Linked DNA regions of Caenorhabditis elegans. The protein of the gene in region 4 interacts with the protein of the main gene of each other region in a pairwise test. Each region holds a gene or a part of one and is shown on either strand. Other genes may lie near its edges.

Evidence for each region.
Region 1: the proteins of par-5 (region 4) and sir-2.1 interact in binary tests that used the Caenorhabditis elegans proteins (3 or more experiments, as listed by UniProt).
Region 2: the proteins of par-5 (region 4) and let-99 interact in a two-hybrid assay, tested with the Caenorhabditis elegans proteins (one study listed by BioGRID).
Region 3: the proteins of par-5 (region 4) and par-3 interact in a two-hybrid assay, tested with the Caenorhabditis elegans proteins (one study listed by BioGRID).

What each region holds. Positions count from the first base shown.
Region 1 is NC_003282.8:10,362,779-10,367,943, forward strand, and holds sir-2.1 (NAD-dependent protein deacetylase sir-2.1), read right to left. Parts: upstream 3,452-5,165; 5' UTR 3,411-3,451; coding exon 3,357-3,410; intron 3,293-3,356; coding exon 3,143-3,292; intron 3,072-3,142; coding exon 2,943-3,071; intron 2,887-2,942; coding exon 2,602-2,886; intron 2,148-2,601; coding exon 1,266-2,147; intron 1,178-1,265; coding exon 983-1,177; intron 837-982; coding exon 708-836; 3' UTR 540-707; downstream 1-539. Other genes in the region: ugt-59 (glucuronosyltransferase), read left to right, coding at 313-538; pges-2 (Prostaglandin E synthase 2), read right to left, coding at 3,734-3,886, 3,935-4,049, 4,093-4,379, 4,429-4,581, 4,629-4,727, 4,776-5,012. UniProt on the Caenorhabditis elegans protein: NAD-dependent deacetylase. Involved in metabolism, apoptosis, response to oxidative stress, response to DNA damage, and determination of lifespan.
Region 2 is NC_003282.8:12,565,935-12,571,163, forward strand, and holds let-99 (Protein let-99), read left to right. Parts: upstream 1-1,907; 5' UTR 1,908-1,921; coding exon 1,922-1,966; intron 1,967-2,016; coding exon 2,017-2,369; intron 2,370-2,416; coding exon 2,417-3,606; intron 3,607-3,664; coding exon 3,665-3,849; intron 3,850-4,189; coding exon 4,190-4,513; 3' UTR 4,514-4,688; downstream 4,689-5,229. Other genes in the region: eak-7 (MTOR-associated protein MEAK7), read right to left, coding at 1-47; hsb-1 (Heat shock factor-binding protein 1), read right to left, coding at 982-1,143, 1,198-1,278; K08E7.4 (uncharacterized protein), read right to left, coding at 4,772-4,807, 4,855-5,058, 5,108-5,119. UniProt on the Caenorhabditis elegans protein: Required for the proper orientation of spindles after the establishment of polarity. May play a role in interactions between the astral microtubules and the cortical cytoskeleton. Required for asymmetric forces on nuclei and spindles.
Region 3 is NC_003281.10:5,662,354-5,667,242, forward strand, and holds the start of par-3 (PDZ domain-containing protein), read left to right. Parts: upstream 1-1,879; 5' UTR 1,880-1,950; intron 1,951-2,008; 5' UTR 2,009-2,018; coding exon 2,019-2,186; intron 2,187-2,592; coding exon 2,593-2,682; intron 2,683-2,735; coding exon 2,736-2,798; intron 2,799-4,889. UniProt on the Caenorhabditis elegans protein: In cooperation with pkc-3, required for establishing cell polarity and regulating spindle orientation in the early embryo. Localization is crucial for recruiting par-6 and pkc-3 to the peripheral apical cortex and restricting par-2 to basolateral surfaces.
Region 4 is NC_003282.8:11,819,970-11,823,832, reverse strand, and holds par-5 (14-3-3-like protein 1), read left to right. Parts: upstream 1-1,915; 5' UTR 1,916-1,935; coding exon 1,936-2,025; intron 2,026-2,073; coding exon 2,074-2,244; intron 2,245-2,309; coding exon 2,310-2,501; intron 2,502-2,548; coding exon 2,549-2,842; intron 2,843-2,944; 3' UTR 2,945-3,008; intron 3,009-3,052; 3' UTR 3,053-3,327; downstream 3,328-3,863. Other genes in the region: M117.3 (14-3-3 domain-containing protein), read right to left, coding at 1-185, 231-317. UniProt on the Caenorhabditis elegans protein: Required to modulate lifespan, in concert with hcf-1, acting redundantly with 14-3-3-like protein ftt-2.

The DNA.
Region 1 (5,165 bases), 1.5 Mb from region 4:
TTCACTTTAAAATACTCAGACTGGTCCCAAATACCAAGATACCACAAAACTACAACGAAATGAATGCATTAAATTTGAAAAAATATTGATGATTTTAGCGATTTTTGAACTTTCTAATCTCATTATTCTATCAAAAATTGGAAACAGGAGTCAAAACCAAACAAATTGCGGCACGGAGAAATGGGCGTGGTTTTTTTTTAAACCAGTCTGAGTATTACAAAGTTTGTTTAAAGTTAAATTAACATTGACGGTATTCCAATTTTAAATATTCTAATGCTAATAATGTACTTCGATCAACTAATGTTGTTTCAGATATACCCAAAATTGCGAAAAATTCTCCCGAATGTTTTCTGATACTCCAATTCCACACGAAGAACTTATTGAATGGAGGATTCGACAAGCAGCTAAGCCATCAAGAAAAGCTTTTGCAAAACATCTTCGACCCAAAGAGCCCGATTTTTCATATTTAAAACTTGGTTTTCTCATTATTCCAGCCATGATACTCTACGCAAAACATGGATTTTCAATATGGACATAATAGAATGAAATTTTTTAATTTTATTTTGATGTTTGCAAAGAATTGAAAAACAATTTAAAGTTTTAAAAGTTTAAACACACAATAACAGATGAAAACGCGTTTTTCAATGGGATTTGGTGTAAAATTGAGAACACAAGAGAAGGAAAATTGAAATTTTTTAACATGAGATTCAGATACGCATTTCTTCACACAAATGCGAGAATGTTTCAGGATCAATCGTTTCAGATAGTTCATACTGAAAATCTCCATCACATGAATCGGCTCGTTGCAAGTCCAGATGTATCGTGTTTTTTCGATCCTGTAATTAATAATTTATAGATAGGTTTTCGCGGAAATGGCAGAAGTAGTGTTTAAAATTTCAAAAACTGTTCTGCAGCTTTACATTTTCAATTTTTCTTTGACACTTTTAAGAGCACCTCAAGAAAGTTTTTATGATGAACTAACCTCGTCAGATAGTACAAAGTCATCTAGCGATTGTGCTCTAGATAATTGATTTGCTTCTGAATCGGCATTTGATGAGCAAGACGAACCACACGAACTTTCGCAATGTGTCTCGTGATGAACATCACGAACCAGTTTCAATGTTTCTAGATCAAATGAGCATTCGGCTCCAGGAAAGACGGTTTGATGAGCAGAAATCTGAAGAAAAAATTATTAATTGTAAACTGGTAGGGTTGTTTAGAAATATTTTCTAACTTTTAACTTTTTAATTTTCAAAACCACTCACCGCGACACACTTATTGTCATGGAGCATCTCAGTAATGCTCAGCAGCCTTGGATGCTTTATTTTCTTGAGAATATCGTCCGAATTCCGTGTATCATCGTCATCTTCTGACTTATGTTTTTGTATTTCTTGGAAATTATTCTTCTCGGAATCCATCGAATCGTCAGCCACCGACATTCTTGGTTTCTTCAATGTTGGCTCATCACTCGAATCATCATTTCTTTTCTCTTTCATACAAATATTCAAAAAGTCTTCCTGTGAAATCAACTGTCGTTTGTTTTGTGAAGGCTTTTGTGATTTCGTTTTTCCTTGTTGTTCCATAATCGAATCATAAGATGTAATCAGTTCAGTGAAGGAGCCTCCAAGACTGAAACAGATATCTCTGATGATGTCATCACAATTTCCGAGCAATTCAATATCTGCATTATAATGTGGGAGGGATTCTCTGTTGATTAGAATTTGTGGAACATTCTTATCAACACAATGTGGAATTAATGCAACTGGTCGAACTTTGAGAGAAGATCCAATAACTACAATGAGATCTACTTTATGCTTGTCTTCTGTAACATGTTGATGAAATTCTCTTCCGAGATCCTCTCCAAAGAATACAATATTCGGTTTGATCACTCCTTCGCAACGTTTGCAATGGGCAACACGCATAGCAAGAACTTCCTCACGAATCTCATTCCCATCATATTTTTGTCCACAACGTGTACATGTACATTTCGAAAAGGATCCATGACATTCCACAACTCTTTTAATTCCAGTCTGATGCTCTAATGTATCGATATTTTGAGTGTAATTTCGAAGAAGACGACCAGAAGTTTCAAGCTCTTTGATAAATCGATGTGATACAGATGGTACGAACTGTCCTGGGAAGATTTCCTGAAATATTTAATTTTTTTTTGGATATTGAAATTTTTGAGACAGCGTCGCTGCAGCGAGTTCAATTGGGATTTACTAGAGAAATGGAACGTTAGAGGAGAATAGAGTTTGTGGGGTTTTCTTTTAAAATTAAATAGAACTGTCTCGAAACAAACAAATATCATAAATAATGAGACTTCTCAAAAAAGTTCGAACAAATTTTTCTGGCGGCTGAGAATATCGAAAAGAGAGAGCCAAATTTTGCTAAAATTTAAAATTTCGCCAATTTCAGATTTTAGCAAAATGTGGCTCCTTTTTTCCGATATTCTGGCCCGCCATAAAGTGTTCGAAAATTTTTTGAAAAGTCTCATTGTGAAAAAAAATCGGGCTAATTTTGGTATATTTAAGCAAAAATTGGCAAACTAAACTTATTGATCTTATTAGCTTAAACACAGTAAAAGGAAAAATAACCTACTCTCGCAAAATTGTAGAACGGAGCAGGATTTTCTCGGAAGTAACGAATATCGAACATTGCTGTCGGATCAGGAAGATCGGGAAACTCGCTCCGAAGTCGTGCATAAATACCATCTTTACTTCGAAAATCTGGAATTCCACAGGATACTGACACTCCAGCGCCAGTCAACACAAGAATATGTTTCTTTGTTTTAAATAGTTCGACTGCATCTGCTAGTGAGTTGTAGTTTGTGAGTTTCTGCCTTACAGGAGCACGTTCTAGAAGATCGCTTAATATGGCGAAATGCTGAAAATTGGTTTTTTTTTCAGGAAATTGTCAATTTTAATTTTTTTTTTAAGTACCGCGTTCTCTGACATTGTTGCAATTCGTGATGCATTAAAATCAGGAAAAATTTGTTGAATAATTTGTAATGGAGTGGCACCATCATCAAGAAGTCTTTGAGCACGACGAAGATTCGACATCATTTCGTCCTGAAAAATATTAATTTAGAAACATTTTAATCTCCTTGGGAATTTATCTTCATTTTTTGGCGAAAACTCACATTATTTTGCCAAGACTCTGAACTGACACTGGTTGTACTTTCTGTTCTTTGTCTACTCGAATCTGTGTTTGTTTCGGGTGCATCGGAAATATCTGTTTCTTGTGTAATGTGCATAGAACCGATTTCTGGATTTTCCTCCGTTATTTCTTGCTGAAACATTTTACGTTAGGTTGTTAGTAAGGAAATTTTAAAAAAATCTAATAAATTAACTCACCACTTCCCCGTGTGTGACCGCAACTTCTGAATCGTTGCCACTATCACGTGACATCGTTTATCGATATGATTAATTTTATTAAAAGTAGACCAGAACTGAATACGAAAATCAATTCAAAAGTGAACCAACTGCGTCAACGGGAGATACCAAATGCGCGTCAACAAACGCTGCATGGCGCAAACTGCCGTCTTCATGAATGCAGAGTAAAACATGGTTTATTATGAGGGAAAAATGTAGAATTTTAACTAAAATGAGATCCTAGCTGGTAAAACATTGAATTGATTCAATAAGACAAATAGGATGAGAAAGATAACAAAAACACAGCAAACAATAAGGCACTAAATCAAGGACTAGTCTATATTAACAATTTCAATCTTTTATTTTTGACTTCTTGATTCCAATGCTTTTCTTCCATCGTGGTTTTTGACAAGTGCATCCATTTTTCGCCACCATTCAGCAATTTTTTCTTCTAAAATAACTTCTTTGAACGCTGAGCATCCATAGAAAGAATTCATAGCTCCATATAATGACTGAAAATATATCAGATTGTAAATCCTTCTCCAAAAAATCAAACCAACCAGATCAGCTAGATTCGGTTCATCTCCTCCTAAAAACTGTCTATTTGGTCCAATTGCTGCCATCCAGTCACGACAAGCCTTTCTCAATTCTTCTCGTTCATCATTGATGTTGTGCCTTTAATATCAGAAATCATGATATAAACTTCTAACTAACTTACTTTTTCTTCAATGTTTTTGAAAGTAAAAACATTGCTGCTGCACCCACGTATACCGCTAGAACTCTCTCCCAGGCTGGAAAAGTACGATGCCAGTCGCCAACTTGTTCGAACCAACGGAATGTCTCGACAGACTCATTCCAATTACGATATACATTAGGAGAAATAAGATGGATGAACCAATTGTCCACCCATTCTCTCCATTCCCGCTCTTCTCTGGCAGAAGCCATATTTGCGTCCCCGTCTACTTTTCCCTTCATAACGAAGAATTTGTTAGGGTAGTTGAGAACCTGAATCAGCAAGGATGTTTTAAAATTGCAGAGTAATTCAAAAACCCACTGGCTTTCCTTTCTCGTTTGTTGAATCAACTGCTGGATACATTTGTATTATCTGGTCGAGTGACTGATCGGGTCTTTGAAGATATGTTGCCAATGTGGAAATAATCAAAGTAGACTCGGTCATAGTTGTCTCGCCACTCCTGAGAATTGGAACCTGAAAGAAAATAGATAAAACAACCGGAAATGTGAATGAAAACTTACTTTTTTATAAGTTGTGCTAAACTTGATCTGTGATCTAGTGACTGGATTTACTTCTACAACCTCATAGGAGAATCCGTGATAATCTAAGAAGGCTCGAACCTGTATTTTTGATTAATAGTTTTCATACTTCACACAAGAGTAACGCACCTTGCAACAGAACGGGCAAGTCTCGTATTGATACAATCGGAGCTTCAAGTTTGACTTATCCAGGTGATTAATAACTTTTCGACTGAGGAGGACATCATTCTGCACTTTCTCGGGTTGCTGAACTTGAATTGGGCATGTTCTGAGTTTTGCTGTTTGGATATCGTCCAGCTTTGATCCTCCCCACGAGAATCCAGCCAAAGAAGCAATCTGGACTGTCCGTACACCAAAAAAACGCATCTGAAAACTAAAAAATGAATTTTCAGTTCATTAAAAGAAAACGGGCGGAAAAACACAACGGATCGGTTACATTCATACAAATTTCACTGAAAAAACGCAAGAAATGCGCTTTTTCTCGCGAGAAACCGTTTTCCACTACGGGGAATATCAAAT
Region 2 (5,229 bases), 750 kb from region 4:
TCGTTAATATTTTTTAGATCTTTTCGCTTCGAATTTTGAGCTCCCATTTCTGAAATTATATGTTTTTTATCTGAAAATCCGGATGCGAAATAGTTAGTAAAAACTGTGAGAAATCAACATTTAGTATGAGAAAAAATTCAAGGGAAGAAGAAGAAAAAGTAAGATGAATAGTTTCATATTGAAAATTTTTTTTAAAAATGCACAAAAATTTGAATTTTTGGCAAAATTTGTGTTTTCACATATAAATAAAATAATTCCGAAAATCGTAATAAAATGCAACAAAAGTTATTGAATAAGAGATTAAAAGCAGGAGGCACAACATAGTAGTCATGAATCCTCTCAACACGTGCATAATCAGTAGAAAAAGAAGAAGAAGAAGACGTGAAAAGAGTATATGTATGTAGGAGAGACGCAGAGAAGCACACAAAACGAATTGGAATTATGATGATGATGAAGAAGGAAGCGACGATGATTCATTTGGGAAGAGTGTAGAGCTGGAAAAAATAGAAATTGAAGAGAGATTAGTTATTAATAATCTCTACAAATTGATTTTTTAGTGGAAATTTGGCATCTTTCAGACCATTTTTGAGCTCTTCGGCGAATTTTTCAGCCAAAATTAATAGGTGAAGTTCTATATTTTTATACTAATTTTTAATGATAAAGTCTTGGAATAACGGTGCAATCGGCCTGATTACCACGTGGTAAATCGATTGGAAAGGCGCTAGGAAATCTAAATATATTTCAAACTAAAGTTAAGAAGGAATAAAAGGATTGACTTCATACATGAAAATTATAAAATATTCGGCCAAAGAGCGTTTTTTACTGTATTTCTAATTGGGTCCCACGGCCCATATTATTGTTTTTTTTTGAAATTTCAAAGTCGACATCAAAAACAACACTGTTTTTCAAAAATAACGAGTGGTCAAAACATCGACCGAAATTTTTGAGAATGTTTCCCATTTTTCTCATTCCGTACCAATCTTATTGAGCGCTTGGCGGATGTTCAACTTGGTTCGATTGCAGCAAATCGTTGATATTCTTCTCCAAATCATCGATTCTCGTTGTCATATCATCGATTCGCCGAATAATCTGATCCGACATGTGCTGGAATCGATCCTGTGTCTGTTGCAGAACTCCTTGTATCTGAGTTTTAGGATTTTTTAGAAAATTGACAATTTTTTTCAAGTATTTACGTACCAACGACGTCAAATCATTCATATTTCCATCGGCTGGAGCGTCGAGTTGAGCGGTTGGTGTGGTAGACTTCTCATCGGACATTTTGAACTGAAAATCTGTAAAAATACGATAAAAATCACAAAGTTTAATCAGTTTTTAAAGAAAATTTGATGAAAAATCAATTAAAACTGGTGAGAATCCAGTACCAGGCAACTAGCCGTCATCTCACAAACAGTGGAACACACAAAAGTACGGGAACAACAACACGAGAGAAAGTACGTCGAAGTGAGAGACGACAGAGAAAAAGAGGGCGGCGAGAGAGTGAAAGAGACGCAGAGAAGGAGTCATTGGAGAAGGACAGATGGTGTAAACGGCGAAAAGAGCAGAATAAGATGATTTGTTTTATGTAAAATAGTGTGGATTTCGAGGAAAATATAATTATTAGAAACACTTTGAGAAAAAAAAAACATCTGAATCGAGGAATTTTTAATTAAAAAGAGAAATTTTCAAAGCAGAATGGGTTACTGTAGCTAATAAGTTGTGTGACAAGTCGTGTTTTCGTGTGTTTGGTCCGTAAACAAAACTTCGGCGCCAAAACTTCACTCGTTTCAGCAATTTTTAGGAAGTTTCCAGAAATTTTTCCTCATTCTTGCTTTTTTTCGTGATGAAATCTCGTTTTCTTTTAAGAAGTTCTTAAATTTATCAATAAACCATCAAAATTCAAGTTTTAGGCCGTCTTGCCGTGATGTCTGCCGACTACTCATCGGAGAAGTTCAAGGCGACGCATCTGGTATTAAAATGTTTCACATTTGTCTTTTGAAATTTTATTCTGATTTTCAGTTCGACGAAATTCTATGGCATTTTCGTTCAAACTTATCACTCAAAACGAACAGAAGAGGATTGGCCACTGCGGAAAACAGTTTCAGCGGGAAAGAAGCTGTGGATTTTCTGATGATTGAAATGCCACGAATCATCCCTAACAATGTTCCGGAACGAGACAAGATGCAGAAGTTCCTGGAGTTCATGATGGACATGAACGTGATTTCAGAAGCCTTCCCGAAGAAAGTCAAGCAAAGGAGGCCATTCAGTGAATCGAGAATATATTTGTTCATGAAGACTTTGGATGAGTTGAAGCATCCCAAGCCCCGATCACGTCGATCAGCGTCTTTCAGTGGTGCTCGCAAAAGTGCAAAGTATGCCAAATAATCATTTTAAACTGTGCTATAAAATATATTTCCAGAGTTGCTCAACCTGCCTCTCCTGCCGCGACAATGCACCGGCCACCAAAGGCAAGGCTCCCACGAAGATTATCGCGATCTAATGGCAACATTGACAAAGCAGGCATCGATAATTCTTCAGGCGGCGTTGAGAATCACGGTTTCGATGATCATAAAGACGATGAAATCCCGAAGAAACAACGAACTCCGAAGATTTTGAACAGATCACTTGAAAGTATCTGTACAGAAGAATATACTGAAAAACGAGAAGTTTCTGAGATGAAAGAGAAGGTTTATGATTGGTTACCGTTTTTCAAATCAAGACGAAATCACACGAAAGTCAATCAACCAACCCGTCGTTCAGCATCCCTTGATCGAAATCATTGTGTTTTGGAACAAGAAAAAGCTGAAGCTGCTCTTCGTAGTCAGAAAGTAACCACTCCGCCAATTCGAGAAGCCCCGAAAGACGTCGTCTTTATGCATCCACAAGGACCGTTGCCTGCAGTTCCTAGCAGATATCAAAATCATCGGACAAGCATCGCAGGATCAAATCCAGCATTGTTATCGCGTGGAAGAATGTACGAATCCATCATGAGAAGATCGTCGGTTGTTCCAGTTGCAGACTCTGTCCAGGCAAACAACGAATGCTCATTTTGGAAAACAGAGCTGCTTGGACGATTGGAACAAATTTACGATCGCACTCTTCCCTGTGAATGGGCATCTAAAGTCGATGGATACGATATTCAGTGGAACATGATTGAAATAGATCATGCTGATGGAATCGTCAAATCGAGATGTCAGGGACTGCAGCCCGATTATCCCCAAACTGTTATTCAATTCATGGATTATCTTGTTCGATATCCCTTCGTCACGCATAAAAAAATGGACACAGGGTTGGAATACAACGTCAATCGGATTTTCATAACTCTAGTCAATCGTCTCGAAGACTTGAATGCTCCTCTTCAATTCGATGAATGCTCTCTTATTGTTAATCTCCTCTGCAAAATCGATAGCTTCGCGGCAATGCTTGACAATGGGCCTGCAAGGCGATGGTCGAAAGTGATGATTTCTTCGTCTGCGTCTAGTATTGAGGAGGCTGGATTGATGGTCGATGGATTCTCCCGTGATCTTCCAGCATGCGGAATTCGAGCTTCAAAGTATCGACGACGTGCGTTATCACCATTTGATAATAGAGTGAATTTGGAAATACAAGGTAAAGAATTTTATTTTTATTACAGTTTCACGATTTTTACTTAAAATTATAATTTCAGACGAAAAATCCTACGAAATCCGAGAGCAATGGTTGATCGAAGCAATTCAATTGGTACTTCTTTCGCTTCCAACTTCACGACGTCGGAAACTTCACAAATTTGTTACATTCATTCAATCGATCGAAACGAATGCAGTTTTCGACCTCGCTGATCCTTCTAACGGATCTTCCAACAATCGGGAAGCGGTAAGGAGGGGATAATTTTGCAAGAAAACTACTGTAACCGGTCTCGACACGACAACTTTTTGTTAGATAAGAAAATGTGTGCGCCCTCAAGGAGTACTGTAATTTCAAACTCTCATTTCTGCCGAATTTTTATGGATTTTAATTAGTTATTTGATAAAAAAAAATATTTATCAATTTAGCACTACAAAATTAACACCTATATTTCAACAATTAAAATTCTGCAGAAATCTTCATTCGTTTCATTCGACAAAAGAAAAATTTGTCGCCTCGAGACCGGTACCGTACTTTTGTCGCGAACTTTTGCGTCTGCGTAATATCAATTTTAAATTTTCGATTTCAGGCAATCATCGGACTCTGGACAGGTGTTTGTAGTAAATGCCGAAAGCAACAAGGAATGCTGATAACCGCTGTCCTCCTCGCAAACTTTCAATCTCTTTTTGCAGTACCTGTTGAATTTATCGAACAGGTCAAACGATTGGAATGTGAAGAAAAGGACAGATATAGTGGTCCTCGGTACGCAAAGATCACCAGAAGTCGAAATGATTGGCAACCACCAGTTCCGGATAAACCGCAAGCATCTCCGGCAGTTTTTAAGAAACCACTAAGAGAAGTGGCATGTGAGAAAACGAAGAAAGGATTGTTCACAAGATTGCTGCGTAAATAAATCTAAAAATCTTCGCCCCATGTATATATTCAATATATTATTTATTTTGTTCCATTCCTCCCCGCTCACCGAATTCTTGTGTCATTATCATCATTTTTCTAAATGTTATTTTACAATTCTGGTTGAATTGAAATTCTCGATGTTCGTTTTGTTCCATAAATTTTGACGATGATTTATCTATATGTATTTATTTTCTTCTATGCTTTAATAACACAGAAAAGGGGGAATTTCAAAAAATTTATTAGGATACATTGAGGACTATTGTGGGATGGCGAGCTCCTCGTAGTTGCCCTCCTAAAAACGTTCGTTTTGTCTTTTAAAATATGCCAAAAATAACTCACATCTTCTTTCTTTGGAGCCACTGGTTCATCCTTCTTTGACGATGGAACGTCTTGTTTCTTCGAATCGAATGAGTCGCTTTTTCCGACTCCTCCAGCAGGTGCTGCCATAAGTTTAGCGACCGGTTTTGGAGCCACTGTTTTCTTCTTGCTCCCACAATGGACCAGCACAAATGGCAAGATATTGAGAGTTAATAGCAAAATGATCTGGAAGCGAGAGGTTTGGAAAATATCAGAATCCTGACAGAAAACTCACTTGCGAGATCATTATTCTTTTTTCGCTTCCGAGAGGTTTTGAATCTTGTAAAGTGAGAAAATATGAATTTTGTAGATTTTCGGAGGCTTTATATATGAGAAATTGTAAGGGGAAGAAATGTT
Region 3 (4,889 bases), on a different chromosome or scaffold from region 4:
GTTATTCATGCATACCTCTACACAAATAGTGTCTCGGTCAATCGGACCTATGAGTCTCATTGACATTAAGTTGAGGTATGAACGTCGATGGCAATACCTCGCCTGCTCTTTTTTTTTCGATAAAAGGCAATTAAAAATATCTTTCTTGTAGATTTTTAAACTTTCGGAAAAGCAATCGTAGAAAAGTGCAAAAAGTTGATTGTTCAGTTTGAGCTTTTCCATTCAGGCTCTCCGAGCATTTGACAAGCCGCGCGAGCTCCGCTGGTAACTCACTGTTTTTCTAATATCCAATCGCGCACCGCTGCGCCAATCTCTGTTCATTTCGTCGTTTGCCAGCTCAACTAATAGTCGGGACAGCACCCACTTCATATAACTTATTGACACGACTATAATTTGTCATTTTGCTTCTCCAATCCATCTCATGAAATATGTGTGTCGTGGCGTCAAGTTGGCATATGCAATGAGGTGATGGCTCTCTAACTCTTGTGCAATACAGCTGGTGCGCACTGACTCAACCTTCTCTTTTTTGACATTTTACATTAGGAAAATGCCAATCAGAAAGTGTAATGGTACACAATATGTGACCTATAGTCGGTTTTAGTTTATTTTACGCCGAAAATACGGTACCCGGTCTCGACACGACAAACTGTTGTTAAATGCGAAAAGGGTTGCGCCTTTAAGGAGTACTGTAATTTCAAACTTTCGTTGCTCAAGAATTTTCATTGAATTTTCATAGCGTTCCCCACATATATGTATTTAACAAAACATTTTCGTATCGTATTTTTGGAAAAACGCAAAATTCCGCGTCTGATTTTAAATCACAAACCGACAATAAGGTTTTCCGAATCCAAGAAAAATTGAATTTTCCCCAAAAAGTAGAGCAATTTATTTTCAAGTCTTTCCTGTTTTTTTACAAATCCATCCCAGCACAACTCGGTGTTCTTCCAAAAACTCGTCTCCTCCAACATGCTCATTATAATGGATCATCATCTTCTCTAGAGGATCCTCTGTGTGACTTCTCCACTTGACAAATTGCCCAAGTGGAAATAAAATAGGCACATTTGGAAATCCTTGGTGAGCACTGAGAGAGAAAATAGAGTAGAGAGAATCCAAAAATGTAATTGGATAACCACCTTCCTCCCGTTCTGTCTTCCAGAAATGTCCTCCCATTTTCCCAGCAAAGGTTTCATTGTTTGTTTTGATATCAAAAATTCATTTATTATTTAGCTATGCGATGAGCAATGCGATGACTGCGAATTCAGTTTTAAGGCCGCTTTTTCTTAAATAAAATTTAAAAAAATTTGTAGACTTGTGAAATTGAGAAATACAGTAATCATTTTTCGGAACAGATGGGTACGGTACGCATTCGCGGCGAGACCTATCGCATGGCGGGAAATTTTTTTTGAAAATTAAAATCTGCAAAAACTTCAAATTTTTAGATTGTCTATTGATTTATGTGCGATATTTTGAGTTTTTTCTCATTCCGTCAACTAATTCTCGTCCAGAAGATCAATTAAGCTATTCAGATCTTGAAAACACGAAAAAATCCGATTGAAATCGGAAATCGGGCCGATTTTTTTCAGAATATTGTTTTTCGAGCTGAATTTGTCTGCGCAAAAACAAAACTTAAAACGCTGAATTTTTTGTATTACAGATTTGAAAACTCAAGAATAAAATCACTAAAAAGCTAATTTTTGTATCCTTTTAAAATTGGCGCGGGCAATTCGGACAAATTTTTAAGATTTTAATGTTTTCCCGCTAAATTCAAACTTTTTTCCATCGCTGAGCACACTAAATCATTTGCTCTTTCTCTCTTACTGTTACTTACTTCACAGACACACCAATCATTTTCTTATCACTCTAATATATATTTTCTTGCAGATAGAAAAGGTCTCGCAGAGCAAATAGGTGCGAAACGAGAGAGCCTCTCGGGAGGAGAAACGTTGATTGGTTTGTTAAAACTTCTTTTCATTTCATTTAATTTTTCTTTATATCTGCTCATTTTCAGATCGATCATCATGTCGGCTTCATCCACGTCATCATCTAGCACATCGTGTCCGGAAGGTGGCGAACCATCGGGAAGCTGTAAAAGCAGCGACGAGGGTGAATCGACACTGAAAAAACGAATGCAACAGTACGGAATTGCGAGTGGTTACGCGAATTCCTCAATATCTACACTTGATAGAGTGCGGAAGTTTTTTTTTCTTAAAAATTGGAGAAAAAATCTTGAATTATCTTTCATTCACGCTTCAGAAATCTTCAATTCAAACTGTCAACAGTTCTACCCGATTTTTGTTTCAAAAAAATGCTTGAACTGCTGAGAATTCCATTTCTGCAAATTTTCATACTGCAAAAATGCGCATTTTAAAATGATTTTGTAAATTCAAATTTTTAAGTCAAAATCCGAATTTTGTACACATTCTATTTTTGAGTTGGAAAGTTTAAGATCCTTTTCAAATTTGAAATTTCTGGCTTTTTCGATTATAACACCGAAATCTGGAATTATTTTTTACTTTAAAAAATGTGAAATCCATTGAATATTTGAAACCTTGGTTGTAATTTATAATTATAAGCAATATTTTAATTTTTCAGAGCCAATATCAATCGCTTCCACTGAATGGAACTCGCCGAGTCACTGTTCAATTTGGACGAATGAAAATTGTGGTACCATGGAAGGAATCGGTGAGCTTTTTTTTCAAATGTTCAATCAATTTTTTAATATTTTTCTTGTTCAGGATCAGACAGTTGGTCAACTAGCAGACGCAGCACTTCTTCGGTACAAAAAAGCGAGGGGAATGGTAATTTTTTTTCTCCAAAAATTTGCAGAAAAAAGGTCATTTTGGAGGCAAAAAAGCGTATCCCAAATTTTCCCATGAATACAGTCAGTCGGGAATAATGAAAGGAAAATCAACAAGAAGCACGCAATTTTATCTTCGTCTTATTCTCTTCCAATATTATTCCATTCCCGAAGAAGCAGCAGCCCCCTTTCGTTTTCTCGGAGAGGTTAATTCGGCTGAGAACAAGGCCGCACCGATGAGGATGTGTTGAATACCATTTCTCTGTTCATTTTCACCAAATAATCCCCTTCCTTTTCCGCTTTGGAGAAAAAGAAAGTTTGGAAGAGACGCAGACAGTGTTACAGTGTGTTGTTGGCACACAACACTGTAAATAATAGATATTTCTTCATTCTCTCTCATAAGTGACTGTCAAAAAGTTTTACTATTTTGTGGAGTTGAACTGTGGTGCTCTTGGATTTTTATTTAGTTACTCCTGATCTTCTCACTTTAAACATTAAGACTTAGTGGTTATCATCCCAATTTATATTTACTAAGCAGTAAAACATTTATCTTGATTGAATATCCAATGATCGCTTCATTTTCTTGAAAATCTCTACAAATTGAAGGCAATTTTCTCCTCTTGGACCACCAACCATAACTAGCGAATCCTAGCCAAAGAGGGATTAATTTCCAAAATGGATTCTGGTCGAATTTGACTTTAATCGGCGTACGCTGTGCGGCATGGAAATTCCGGAGGCCGTCGCCTCGTCCCGATTGGATTTTGCAATTTGCAATAAACGGATTGATTTCGACGCGCTTGGTAGATTTTTGTTTATATAACATGCATTGGTCTCTCACCATGTTCACTTCATGGCGGATTTTGTACGAATCTCTTCCCCCTCATCATCATCGTCGTCGATCATCATGCTTCCTGTTCGCGCAGGTTGTAGCATTCGTTTCGCAGTAAATTAAGTTTTCCGCTGTAGGCAGGCAGTTGATCTAAATAAATCTGATAAGAATTTATTCGAAGGCTTAAGATTTGTTATCTCTCTCTCTCTCTCTCTCTCAGTTTTGTTGATTTAGATTTATTTGACGTTGAGGACGATATAATCATTATCAGCAGCAACAACCAACTTGAAATTAATCAAATGGAATGTATAGTTGGACGTTGTGTAATAGGAGTACGAGTAGAAAGTGTGAGTCAATTGCAGAAATTAGTGTTTTGTTAGGAAGTTGGGCGCCAGTTTTAAACCCGCCGCCTACACTTTTGATATTACGATGAGCACGGTTCAAAGGCAGGAGTTTTTTTTTCAGCCGTATCAGACTTTATAAATTTTCCATTTACTAATTTGATCCAGTTTTTATGGTCATGTAACATGTAAAGCTGTGTTTAGTCCCAGCCGAAAAGAAAATTGAACAGAACTCAAAGTTTTCGTGTGACTAAAAAAATATGGTGAGTCACCTTGGAATGTTTTTGTTCGGTTTTGAATTTCAATTCAAAAATTGTGAACAACTTTGGCGTTATTCATAATTGTGGAAGTTTTGAATTTCAGTTGAAAAATGAAAATTGTGATGTGAAAACCTTGAATTATTGTTCCTTTCAAACTTATTGTATTTGACTCCAAAGGCCTCCGAATAGCTCCAGAACATGTGAATTGGCAGCACTTAAAGTTGTTCATCTATCTCTATCTCTCTCTCCTCGCCATCATCGTGAAATAAAGCACCCCCTATTCTACATGCAATGTCATAACACTCATATCTCATGTTATCGCCATCCTCCGCTGCCACTACGAATCATCTGTTCTGAAAGCAGCTTTTTTTCGGGTGGTTTTTGTATTTTTCTTTACTGATAAACAGCTTGTGTTGTTGTTGTTCGCGACGAGAACAAATATCATGGACATTTTACCAACTATTGAGAAGATAAGAAGAAATGGTTAGGAATGATGTGTATATAGACATCTTCCCCTTTCTATCTCTCTTCCCTTCTCTTCCGAGTGTTTCTGTTTCTATTTGTCGTTCGATCTGATGATTGTCGTCATTTTTTCTCAGCCGCTCCTCTTCTTGATGCCCTTGCGCAACCCCACCGTGGCTTACTTGTTGGGGGGTCTTGGA
Region 4 (3,863 bases):
GAATCCAGTGAGCTCTTCATCTTCTCCAATTCGCGATGAGCACTATCAAGAGCACTCTGTGCAATTTCGTTGGCTTCTTTGGGAAGATTCAGGACATCGAAGTTTAAGGCGCTTGCATTGAGGGCAAGTCCAAGGCGAATTGGGTGAGTTGGCTGCATCTTGTCCTTAGCGATACCAAGAGCCTCCTGAAAGTCATTTCATTTACATCAAGAATTTAGTTATTCAAATACCTGATAAGCGATTCGCGACTTGTGTGCATGCTCTTCTCTGTTGATATCGTCGTATTGGACCAGATACCTAAAATGGTCGGCGACCATGCCACCGAAGAGAGCCTTAGTTTCATCATTTAGCGCATAGTCTCAAGCCAAACAGGCGGGGCAGTTCAAAAATAGTTTGATATATAGTTTGATATAGTTTGATGAATAGTGGCGTGGAGTACGGTTTCGCGGCAATTCAAATACTACTATTCTTGAGACCAGACGAATCGGACGATTAACGGCGGCGAGGGATTCGGATCGGGGGAACCCAATCTGTGGGACGGGCCACGCCCACGATCAAATTTTGCAACCTCCGCACGGTTCTATGGGCGTGGCCAATCCCCCGATGTCAACAAATTTTAAAAAAAACCTTCCCCGATTTTATAAATATTTCAGCTTGAAATCGCGATGTTCATTTGCGAACTCGAGGCATTTTCGAAACGTTAAATGTTCCCGCGCAATAATGCTCCGCTGAACAGTGCACGCTTTTTGTGTAGATTCATTTAAATATTCATTTTCCGTCAGATTTCATGTAGAAACCCAAAGATTCGCTCATTTCGCTGCTCGATCTTTTCTTTTTCTTCATTCAACCGTATATTATATGCATTTTTCGTTTAAACGTTTTTCAAAAATTTTTAAAAATTGCTTACAATCTTCTTTGTAAAAAGAATATATTTTGCAACCAATTTTTTCGATTCTCCATGGAAAACTTATCAATTTAAACTGCATTCACTGTTACACTGATAATGCTTTGAACGACGGCGGTCGGAGAACTTCCAACCGATTACTGTTCTCCAATTTCATGTTTCTAGAAAAAAAGAAATTTCTGTCGTTTCATAACATGTTTTAACACGCAGAGCCTTTTTTTTTCGAATGAACCGCCATTTTCTTTAAAGGCGCAAGCTATTCCCTCTGCGCGATATTTCGCCGCGAAAAAAGAAGCCCCGCGAAAAAACGTATTCGAACCGCGGAATTTCCGCGAATTTGTTGCTGGTTTCTTCTAGAATTCAACGATTCAATGCTCATTTCATCACAATTTTTTTTTGTAAAATTATCCTTCTCGCTTTTATGCTCCTCTTGCCCTCAATTTTCTGTCTAAAAGCTATCATTTCCTCTGATTTCTTCCTCGATTTTCAAATGTTGGCCCAAAATAGTGATTTTTTCTTTAATTATATCCTAATCCCCACCAACACGATTTAGCAATTCTCGAAAATTATTTTTTTGCGTTGTTCAGGTAAAAGTCCTGACGAAACCTCCTGAGTTTTGTGTAACGTGCTCACCGAAAGATTAGTGTGCTTGCTGCGCCCGTTGTCACCACTGCCATTCATCCTTCTATTCCCGTGTTTTCTTATCAAATGCCCAAAAAATCTGAAATTTTTTGTGTAGACAATGCTATATATGAGGAGCGAATGTGTGCGCCAGAGAAAAAGACGGACAGACACAAATTGAGTGAGTGTGCGTTGCCCACTTTAGTTGTTGTCATGCGACGGCGGCGGCACGCGCTCTCTCATCGGCCGGCACTGCTGTCCATCGATTTTTCTTCTTTCAAACGTCGTGCGGGCTGTTTCGAATGTTCTAGGGCTCTCCGTTTCGATTATTACTCTCGCCTATGTTCTTCTCTTTTCGTTCTCAATATTTCATTATAAATTTTGTTTCAGAAGACTTGCTCACTGAAAAAATGTCCGATACCGTGGAAGAGCTCGTTCAACGCGCCAAGCTTGCCGAACAAGCCGAGCGATACGATGATATGGCTGCCGCCATGAAGAAAGTAAGATAAAACATCATTTACGGAGGTTTCAAATTTACTATTTTTCAGGTGACCGAGCAGGGACAGGAGCTTTCCAACGAAGAGCGTAACCTTCTCTCTGTTGCCTACAAAAACGTCGTCGGAGCTCGCCGTTCATCGTGGAGAGTTATCTCTTCCATTGAGCAAAAGACCGAGGGATCCGAGAAGAAGCAACAACTCGCCAAGGAATACCGCGTCAAGGTAACTACACCAAGCAAGATTTTATTAATTTCAAGAATTTTAGTAACTTATTTACATTATTTCAGGTTGAGCAAGAACTCAACGACATCTGCCAAGATGTGCTCAAGCTCCTCGACGAGTTCCTCATTGTCAAGGCTGGAGCTGCTGAGTCGAAGGTCTTCTATCTCAAGATGAAAGGAGATTACTACAGATACCTCGCCGAGGTCGCTTCAGAGGATCGCGCTGCCGTTGTTGAGAAGTCCCAGAAGGCTTACCAGGTATTTGAAAATAACTAAATTCTTGATGTAAATGGCATGACTTTCAGGAGGCTCTTGATATCGCTAAGGACAAGATGCAGCCAACCCACCCAATTCGCCTTGGACTTGCCCTCAACTTCTCTGTCTTCTACTACGAGATCTTGAACACTCCAGAGCACGCTTGCCAACTCGCGAAACAGGCTTTCGATGATGCTATTGCTGAGCTCGACACGTTGAACGAGGATTCGTACAAGGACTCGACCTTGATCATGCAACTTCTACGTGACAATCTCACTCTCTGGACATCTGACGTTGGAGCTGAAGATCAAGAGCAGGAGGGAAACCAGGAAGCTGGAAACTAAGTACGATTTCAAAATGTTTTATTGCCATTATATAAAGCTGACCTTTTTCCTCTTTTCCTTTCACATCAAATCTTGCTTCGAAAAAATAGTTTCGGTTTTCAGAGAGCTGAACTCCGTTCTCTTTCCTCGCATCTCTTCAACTTTCAGTTATCCTCCAACATTTCCGGTACGTTAGCCGAGAGAGTTGCCTAATCACCGTTTTTGTTTTAGACTTAACGTATTCACCAATACTCCATACAACACTGCGCAATAGCATCATGAAAGAAAATTCGGTCTTCAAGTGCTCTAGATCTCCAAGCCATAATTCTCTTCATGCTCTATTTCGCTGTAATTCACTCCGTCACTATTGTCATTCCTAAAATGGCGTATTGTTCTATGATTATTATGTGCTGTAAAGTATAATGAACCCCCATCTTCCATTTTTCTCTTATTATCCCCGATCTTTATTTTTAGATCTTTTTGAACATAAATGTTTGGTGAACTTTTCCGGTTGTCCGAATTTCATCACAACTTTCCAGGAGTTTTTCGAGTAATGGAATGGAATTTATTTTCAGATTTCGATGAAGGAGCATAAATAGGATAAAACATTTGCATTAACCTCTTAGAAGGTCTCAACACGAAAAATTAAATGAAATGTGAAAAAGTGTGCGCCTTTAAGCTGCCGAAAATTTTTTGATAGTTTCTTCCACGATTCGTTAAAAATTAAGTGTTTTATGGTAACATTTGAGTGTTCTTTTGAAAATAAATATATTCTTTGTCGAAAAACTATGAAACATCGATAAAAATTCCGCAGCAATAGAAGTTTAAAATTACAGTACTCTTTAAAGACTCACACCTTTTTGCGTTCAACAAATATTAGACGTGTCGAGACTAAGTACCGTACTTTTGGCGCAAAAAGCTCAAAATTTCGCTCCTGGGCAATATAATTTTCGGAAAAAAACTTAATTCTGGAGACTTCATGTGTTTTCACAGATCATGACGAGACCGATTGAGAAACATTTGGAAATACATTTTTCTTCAA